Macaca fascicularis: one gene and its partner. The protein of the gene in region 1 interacts with the protein of each later gene in a biochemical or structural test. Links are inferred from orthologs where the notes say so. Each region holds a gene or a part of one and is shown in the gene's direction. Other genes may lie near its edges.

Evidence for each region. The genes of interacting proteins can lie anywhere in the genome.
Region 2: the proteins of IRF4 (region 1) and STAT6 form a complex in vitro, tested with the Homo sapiens proteins (2 studies listed by BioGRID). The link is inferred for Macaca fascicularis from reciprocal best matches to the Homo sapiens genes IRF4 and STAT6.

The regions. Positions count from the first base shown.
Region 1 is NC_088378.1:172,684,692-172,688,991, reverse strand, and holds part of IRF4 (interferon regulatory factor 4), read left to right. Parts: intron 1-194; coding exon 195-302; intron 303-2,700; coding exon 2,701-3,054; intron 3,055-4,300. UniProt on the Homo sapiens protein: Transcriptional activator. Binds to the interferon-stimulated response element (ISRE) of the MHC class I promoter. Binds the immunoglobulin lambda light chain enhancer, together with PU.1.
Region 2 is NC_088385.1:63,894,022-63,898,011, reverse strand, and holds the end of STAT6 (signal transducer and activator of transcription 6), read left to right. Parts: intron 1-147; coding exon 148-240; intron 241-1,604; coding exon 1,605-1,670; intron 1,671-1,759; coding exon 1,760-1,888; intron 1,889-1,976; coding exon 1,977-2,166; 3' UTR 2,167-3,333; downstream 3,334-3,990. UniProt on the Homo sapiens protein: Carries out a dual function: signal transduction and activation of transcription. Involved in IL4/interleukin-4- and IL3/interleukin-3-mediated signaling.

The DNA.
Region 1 (4,300 bases):
GTTTTCCAGCTGGTCTCCGGCTCGTCTTTGCCTCACAAGAGTGTGCCCTGCTAGTCGCTGGTGCTGGGAGTGGGCGGGAAGGTGACTGGGCGCCAGCCCCTTCCTTCCCAGGCTTCACACACACACCCCAGGAAGCCCTGCAGTGCGTCGGACTCTCTGTCTAGACATCATCTGACTTTTATTTGCAAATGCAGGTTGCCAGGTGACAGGAACCTTTTATGCTTGTGCCCCACCTGAGTCCCAGGCTCCAGGAATCCCCACAGAGCCAAGCATAAGGTCTGCCGAAGCCTTGGCGCTCTCAGGTGAGTGCAGGGTTTGGTTCTGGAGGCACCGCAGGAGGCCGGCTGCTGCCGCCAGCTCTGTCATCTTTGGGCAGATTCAATGGGACTTTAGACACTTGCTTTGCTCCCCCTGGGGTCTGGAGTAGATGTGGACACATCCTGTGCATGAGGTGACCAGAGTGAACTAGGAGCACCATTGGAAAGACCCAGCATCACTGCTTGTGGTTCTGCTGACAGTTTCAGCCACTGGCTTGAATGGAGTCGTTCTGGCTTCGTCACTGGCACCTCTCCGAATTTCCAGGAATGTGCAAACACTCCAGTTTCCTTTACCAAGGGCCCCTCTCCAGCCAGCATTCTCCGTGCGGAAGTGTGGAAGGGCTCGTCATTTGGAGAGGCTGATCGTCCTTCCGGGTTGAGCCATAAATGAGTCCTCCTCCTCTGCTCCCTGGGGACATTAGTTCTGGTCCCTCGATGACATATGCCTAAAAGTAATACACATTTTGGTCTTTCATATCGCTTGCAAACAAATATGGATTCAACCTGATTTTTAAGTTTTATTTAAAAAAAAAAAAAAAAAAGTCCTGCATCATAGAGATCTTACCTGTTGTAAAAAAGGCACCCTTAGACTTGCCAAGCATATGTGCTATATGTCTATTCATTTTTTAGATAATATTTTGGATTGTTTTTAAGGTTTGGAATTCTCATCATGCCCTTTGGCATCTTTAAAAATCAGTGATGAAAAATACTAACTGAATTCTGAAGGTTTCAGGGAGACGAGAGTTGTGGCACTACGGCTGCACACGGGGGCTGGAGTTTTACCTGCCCGCTCTTTCTAGTTCTGAATGAGGCTTGCACCTTTTTTTCTGAGATGCTCGTGAGTACCGAGGATGCCCTTTGGGAGGAGGTGCTTCTGAGCAGGAAGGCTTGTGTTTGTTTTTAGAAACTTTCAAACCCTTTTCTTGAACACCTAAGACTTGTGTGGGTGCCTGAAGAGTAGGAAATAAACAGCTATTTATATCTCTGCAACCTCGTGATTTCTGATGACATTAAATGAAATGAAACCTGCCCCGAGAATCACCTCGAATGGCCAACACCCACTCTCTTTGGGGCGCACTGTCTGACTCGTTCTCCATGTGTTGAAGCAGAGAATTGAGACAGTGATGTGGGTTAAGTCTCAAAACCTGCTATTGAGGAATAAGACAGTTTTGTGGGTTTCTTTTTTTTTTTTTTTTGGTATGCATAATACAGATTAATTATCAGCCATGAGCACATTTGTTAGAGAACTGTGATTCCCACTGATTGTGGGGTCCCATACAGTTCCCAGTGGCGACTGCCCCTGTCTGTGCCGCTCCCCTGCAGCCTGGCTGAGGAGCTTATGCAAACCTAGCTTGGTTCTTTCAACTCATGGGCGATGTTTCAAAGAGGTTTCTGAAATCAGCCAAACGTTTGTAAATGGATTCATCTTGTTTAAAGTTTCAGAGAGTTTTAGGGTTCTTTTCAAACTTAAACACAAAGCCCAGTGGGAATTTCAGCAGACTTTACATGAACTTTTAGAGCATTTTTCTCATTAATTTCTTTCTTTTCACAAGAATTAATTTTGTGATAAAAACATCACATATCCAGTGTGGAAAACTAATTTAAAAATCAGAAAAACAAGAATGGAAAATAAAAACGTCACATTCCACCACCCAGAAATCACCATTAAGGCCTTAGTACTTACCCTTTAATGTGTATATGTGTGTGTATGTTTATATATAAACTATGTAGACATAAATAAGCACCTAATTATATGTATAACTTACATATATGTATACACACACACACACACACACACACACTTGCTTTTACCTAAATGATGTCATATTATTATTTTGAGGACCTTTCAGGTTTGTGGACAGACTTGCTTCTTTCTGAAACACCGTCATATTTTTTGCTAGTAGAAATTAAACTTAGGGTTCATTTCTTACCAAAGCAAAAACTGATTTGCTTAAAGATGAATTTTCATTCAGTGACACATGACTTAAATGTCATCACCACTATCATCAGCATCGTTCACAATAAGACTTAGTAAGTTCTTAATGGTGATGATCTATAACCTGAATTCAACTTACTTTTCCAGAAAATTAATGAAAGACACACTCGTCCCTTCCAAAAAGAGTCTGTGGCCACATACGTTTGAAATATGCTGGTTTAGACGAATTAAATGGGTTTTTTCCACGGGATTTCTCTAAGTGTTGATCTCGGGGGGAAGCAGGGCATGTGGCGTCTCCCAGGCCTCCTGCACGCCAGAACCTTTTGTTCCTCCACAGAGCCTGTGGGACAGTAGAGTTCCACCGCAGGTGCTTGGCTCTGTGGAGTCGCTGGCCTCAAGCTGGTGTCCTTGGCCCCCAGCACTGACCCCGGAGCTCTGTGTTTGCAGACTGCCGGCTGCACATCTGCCTGTACTACCGGGAAATCCTCGTGAAGGAGCTGACCACGTCCAGCCCCGAGGGCTGCCGGATCTCCCATGGACATACTTACGACGCCAGCAACCTGGACCAGGTCCTGTTCCCCTACCCAGAGGACAATGGCCAGAGGAAGAACATTGAGAAGCTGCTGGGCCACCTAGAGAGGGGCGTGGTCCTCTGGATGGCCCCCGACGGGCTCTACGCGAAAAGACTCTGCCAGAGCCGGATCTACTGGGACGGGCCCCTGGCGCTGTGCAGCGACAGGCCCAACAAGCTGGAGAGAGACCAGACCTGCAAGCTCTTTGACACGCAGCAGTTTTTGTCAGGTGAGGCACTTCATTCTGTTAGAACGGAGGTGGTGATGGCCCGCCTGCCACAGGGGTCGGAAACGACAGGGTCCCTCTCACCCCAGGCTGAGGTCTTCCTCCTGTTGACTCCGGCGCCCACCGGGCTTGGGGCTCGGCCCCAGTAGAGATCTTCTGTCTGGCTCCGTTGAGGGCAGAGAGTGCGGATCAGATGGTCCAGGTGGACGGTGGCTCAGGCTGTACTCTTGCAATTCTGGTTTTCAACAGTCACCTCTTAACACAGTTCTGTTTTATTGCACTGTGATCTCAACAAACACGTCTGCTGATGTGACGGCTCTTTTCAGATTCCCAGAAAAATCATAAAGGTTAGAAGCATATTGTTAACATTCTTGGTTGTGAGAGGGGTCACCCTCATGCAGATGCCGCCCCACGAGTGAGACGGAGGGTGGAGCGGACTGTACTGGTTCTGCACGGGAGAAGTTACAGGAGAGTGCTATGAGTGGGCTCTGTGATACGAACGTTTCTAAGCATAGTTTTCAGAACCAGTGAGTTTTGTTTCTCTCCCTTGGATTTCATGACCATTCAGTGAAGCTCTGGCTGGCTTCTGTGAAGCCCCTGGCCCTGTCCCGCTGGGCTTCCTCCCAGGCTTCGTGTGGCCGTCCAGGTGGAGGGAGCCTCCCACGAGGGAGGGAGTTGCTCTACCTGCCACCCCACCGCCAACTCTTCCTCCGCCTTTTCCCAGCCCTGTTCCTTCTCGAGCCCCTTCAGAAACTCCTGTGTCTTTGGTTTTTCCTGTGCCTCCCCTTTTCTTGAATGTGCTTCTTCATTCCACTTATTTAAAATAAAAACAGGACCCACCTCTGCCCTGGCACTGCGGACACGTGCTCTTGCTTTTGGGCGTAAGTGGCCCACATTTGTGTAAGCTCATCCAGATTTTCTTTTGGTGCCCAAAGCAAATGTGTCCCTAGATAACTAAGCTTCAGGCCGGGTGCGGGGGCCCACGCCTGTAATCCCGGCACTTTTGGGAGGCTGAGGCGGGCAGGTCAGTTGAGGCCAGGAGTTCGAGACCAGGCTGGCCAACATGGCAAAACCCCGTTTCTACCAGAGATACAAAAATGAGCCGGGCGTGGTGGTGCGCGCCTGTCGTCCCAGCTACTCAGGAGGCTGAGGCCTGGGAGGCGGAGGTTGCAGTGAGCTGAGATGGCACCATTGTGTTCCAGTTCGCAGGACAGAGCAAGAGTCCATTCCGGCCCCCACCCCCACCGCC
Region 2 (3,990 bases), on another chromosome or scaffold:
GGCTTTTAGCATGGGCAGCTGGGAGAGCTGGCACTGGGGGCTGAACAGGGAATTTTCCTTTCCATGAAAGGGACACCCGTTCAAAAGCAGGGTGTGGTGGTGTCCAGGAGAAGGGCTGGCATCAGGGGGCCTGTTTTCTTTCCCTAGGCCCCAGGTGTACCCACCACACTCTCACTCCATCCCCCCGTATCAAGGCCTCTCCCCAGAAGAATCAGTCAATGTGTTGTCCGCCTTCCAGGAGTAAGTGAAAAACCTCATGGGGATACCATCCCACTCTAAGGGGGTGGGCATTCGAATTGTTAGAAGAGGCTCTTCTGTGAGAAAGGAGCACCAAATGCTAACAACCTTTCTTCTCTTCTGTCCACTCTAATGAGGGGATAGTAGTTAAGATCCAGACTGCCTAGGTTTGAATTCTAGCTCTACCACTTACTGGTTTGGGGCAAATTACTTAGCCTTTGGTGCCTTATCTGCCCAATAAGGGATAATAATGCTAATAATAATAACCTACCTCACTGCATTATTTTGGAGATTAAATGAGTTCATAACACTTACAAAGCTGAGCATAGTGCCTGGCTCATAGCAAAAGCTGTGTAAGTCCAGTCGTGGATCACTTAATGAAAGAGCATTTTCTGTCCTTAGGCAGTTTCATAGTTATGCGAATATCATAGAGTGTAATTACACAAACCTAGATGGTATAGGCTACTATACACTGAGGCTATATTGTGTAGCCTGTTGATCCTAGCTTTAAACCTGAGCAGCATGATACCGTTCTGAACAGTATAAGGAAATAGTTACATAATGGTAAATATTTGTGTGATACGAATTTTCAGCTTGATTATAATTTTTTTTTTTTTTTGAGACAAGGTCTCACTCACTGGAGTGCAGTGGTGCAATCTTAGCTCCCTGCAACCCCTACCTCCTGGGCTCAAGCAATCCTCATGCTGTTGTGCACCAGGATACTCGGCTAATTCTTTTTTAAGGTTTTTCTGCAGACAAGGTCTCACTTACTGCCCAAGCTGGTCTCAAACTCCTGGGCTCAAGTGATCTTCCCACCTCAGCCTCCCAAAGTGTTAGGATTACAGGTGTGAGTCACTCTGCCTGGCCTTGATTATAATCATATGGGATCACTGTGGTCTGTAGCTGACAGAAATGTCGTTGTGTGGTGCATGACTGTTTCTGTCCTGCCCCTGAGAGCCACTGTCACTTCTCTGCTGTGTTGATTTTTGTTTACTCATCTGTTTTGGCCTTGAGATGGCCTAGACATTTTTCTTCCCCAAGTATAACACCCAGGTGCTTATTAACTCTTAGTCAAGGCACAACATCTCCCCTCCCAGAAGGTGAGGCGGGAGTGAGGACTTGGGGACTTAAGAACTATCAAAGTTCAGAGTCCAAAGAAACATTAGAAATTGGCTAATCCACCCCCGTAACACACACATTTTACAGATGAGAAGACTGAGCTCAGAGCATAGAAATAGCTTGCCCAAAGCCACTACTAAGTCAGGATAAGGAGGTGGAGCTTGTTTCCTCACTCAGTGGTCCTGACTTTGCACCACTTTGCCTTTGCCTAGCCTGCCTTCCTCTAACTGTGCTCTCCCTAATTCTAGGCCTCACCTGCAGATGCCCCCCAGCCTGGGCCAGATGAGCCTGTCCTTTGACCAGCCTCACCCCCAGTGAGTGACAAGGCCCCTCCTGACCCCATGTGCCTCTTCTTTCCTGGCCTTGCCCCTCCCTCCTTATTTCCGTTGCTGGTTCCTGGCAGGGGCCTGCTGCCATGCCAGCCTCAGGAGCATGCTGTGTCCAGCCCTGACCCCCTGCTCTGCTCAGATGTGACCATGGTGGAAGACAGCTGCCTGAGCCAGCCAGTGAGAGCGTTTTCTCAGGGCACTTGGTGAGTGGCAGCTTAGTAGTGGAGGCTGGGTGGCATCTAGGGGAGTGGGCGCCATGCCTACTCCACTGCTTCTCCCATCTCCTTGTAGGATTGGTGAAGACATATTCCCTCCTCTGCTGCCGCCCACTGAACAGGACCTCACTAAGCTTCTCCTGGAGGGGCAAGGGGAATCGGGGGGAGGGTCCTTGGGGGCCCAGCCCCTCCTGCAACCCTCCCACTATGGGCAATCTGGGATCTCAATGTCCCACATGGACCTAAGGGCCAACCCCAGTTGGTGATCCCAGCCGGGAGGGAGAACCCAGAGAGACAGCTCTTCTACTACCCCCACAGACCTGCTCTGGACACTTACTCATGCCCTGCCAAGCAGCAGATGGGGAGGGTGCCCTCCTATCCCCACCTACTTCTCGGTCAGGAGGAAAAGACAGGAGAATGCATGGTGGGTGGAGCCAATCCACTCCTTCCTTTCATCATTCCCCTGCCCACCTCCTTCCAGCACTGACTGGAAGGGAAGTTCAGGCTCTGAGACACGCCCCAACATGCCCGCACCTGCAGCGCGCACACGCACGCACACACACATACAGAGCTCTCTGAGGGTGATGGGGCTGAGCAGGAGGTGGGCTGGGTAGGAGTACAGGTTAGGGCATGGAAGGCTTCTCCGCCCACTCTGACCCAGGGCCTAGGATGGTTAGGCAGGAACATACAGACACATTTACGCTAGAGGCCAGGGATAGAGGATATTAGGTCTCAGCCCTGGGGGAATGGGAAGCAGCTCAAGGGACCCTGGATGGAGCACAGGAGGGGTCTGGACATGTGGTTACCAATACAAGTTTTGCCCTGATTAAAAAATCTCCCAAAGCCCCAAATTCCTGTTAGCGAGGTGGAGGCTTCTGATATGTGTATGAGACTATGCAAAAGTACAAGGGCCGAGTTTCTTCATGTATAGCTGTGTGAACGTGTATGTACCTAAGATATGTTAATGTATAGCTGGCATGTTAGTTGCATGACCACATAGAACATGTGTCTGCTTTTGCCTGTTTGACAACACAAATTTGGGAGTGTGAGACATTGCACAGAAGACAGCAGCAAGTGTGCTGGCCTCTCTGACATATGCTAACCCAAAAATACTCTGAATTTGGAGTCTGACTGTGCCCAAGTGGGTCCAAGTGGCTGTGACATCTACATATGGCTCCATATCTCCAATGCTGCCTGGGAGCCAGGGTGAGTGTCTGGGTCCAGGCCTGACCATGTGGCCCTCCAGTGTATGAAGGGGCCCTGCCTGCTGTATCTTCTCTGTTGCCCTATCCACTGCCAGCTTCCCTTCACTCCCCCATCCCATGTCACCGTTTCTCCCTCTCGAGGCAGGGGTCATAGATCCTAAGCCATAAAATAAATTTTATTCCAAAATAACAAAATAAATAATCTACTGTACACAATCTGAAAAGAAAGACGCTCTAACTGCTCAGATAGGTGCTGCGGTCCAGCCCCCAGCTGGAGGAGACCCTGAGTCCAACCCAGGCCTCCCAAGGGGGCCAGTGAAGGGATCCCACACCCACCGCCCCCATGTAGGGCAGGAGGGAGGAAATTGCAAAGGACTTGGGGGATAGATGGGAATGGGAGGGCAAACTGCAGCACTTGTTAAATTAAAGAAACAAACCAGAAGCACAAAAACGGGGAAGGAGAGGGAAGAAGGAGCAGGTCCAGTGTTCCCAGGCCCCCAATTCTGGGGGCAAATGTTGCCACTTTTAGCTGCTGGACCTTCCCAGGGAAGTCCCCCTTTCCCCCTTGTCCAAACTGAGTCCAACTGCTCACACCACAGGTGCAAACCTAAAGAGAATGGGAGTGTGTCGTGTGAGGGAGGGGAGAACCCCAGATGCCCTTGGAGGCAGAGTCCTTGCCCCCTCGCTCTGGGCAGGGGTGAGGGCACCACGCACCCTCCTTGTGTCCTCTCTCCAGGCCCCTGCTTGTTATTGCTTGAAGCCCCACAGTCTTATGCCCATGGAGCAGGTGGGGAGGCAGGAGAAGGGCAGAGGAAGGATCCAGGGTTGTGACTATATTCCGGGGATGGAGAGCATGGGGGTCTGTGTGAGCCAGAAGTCTGAGGT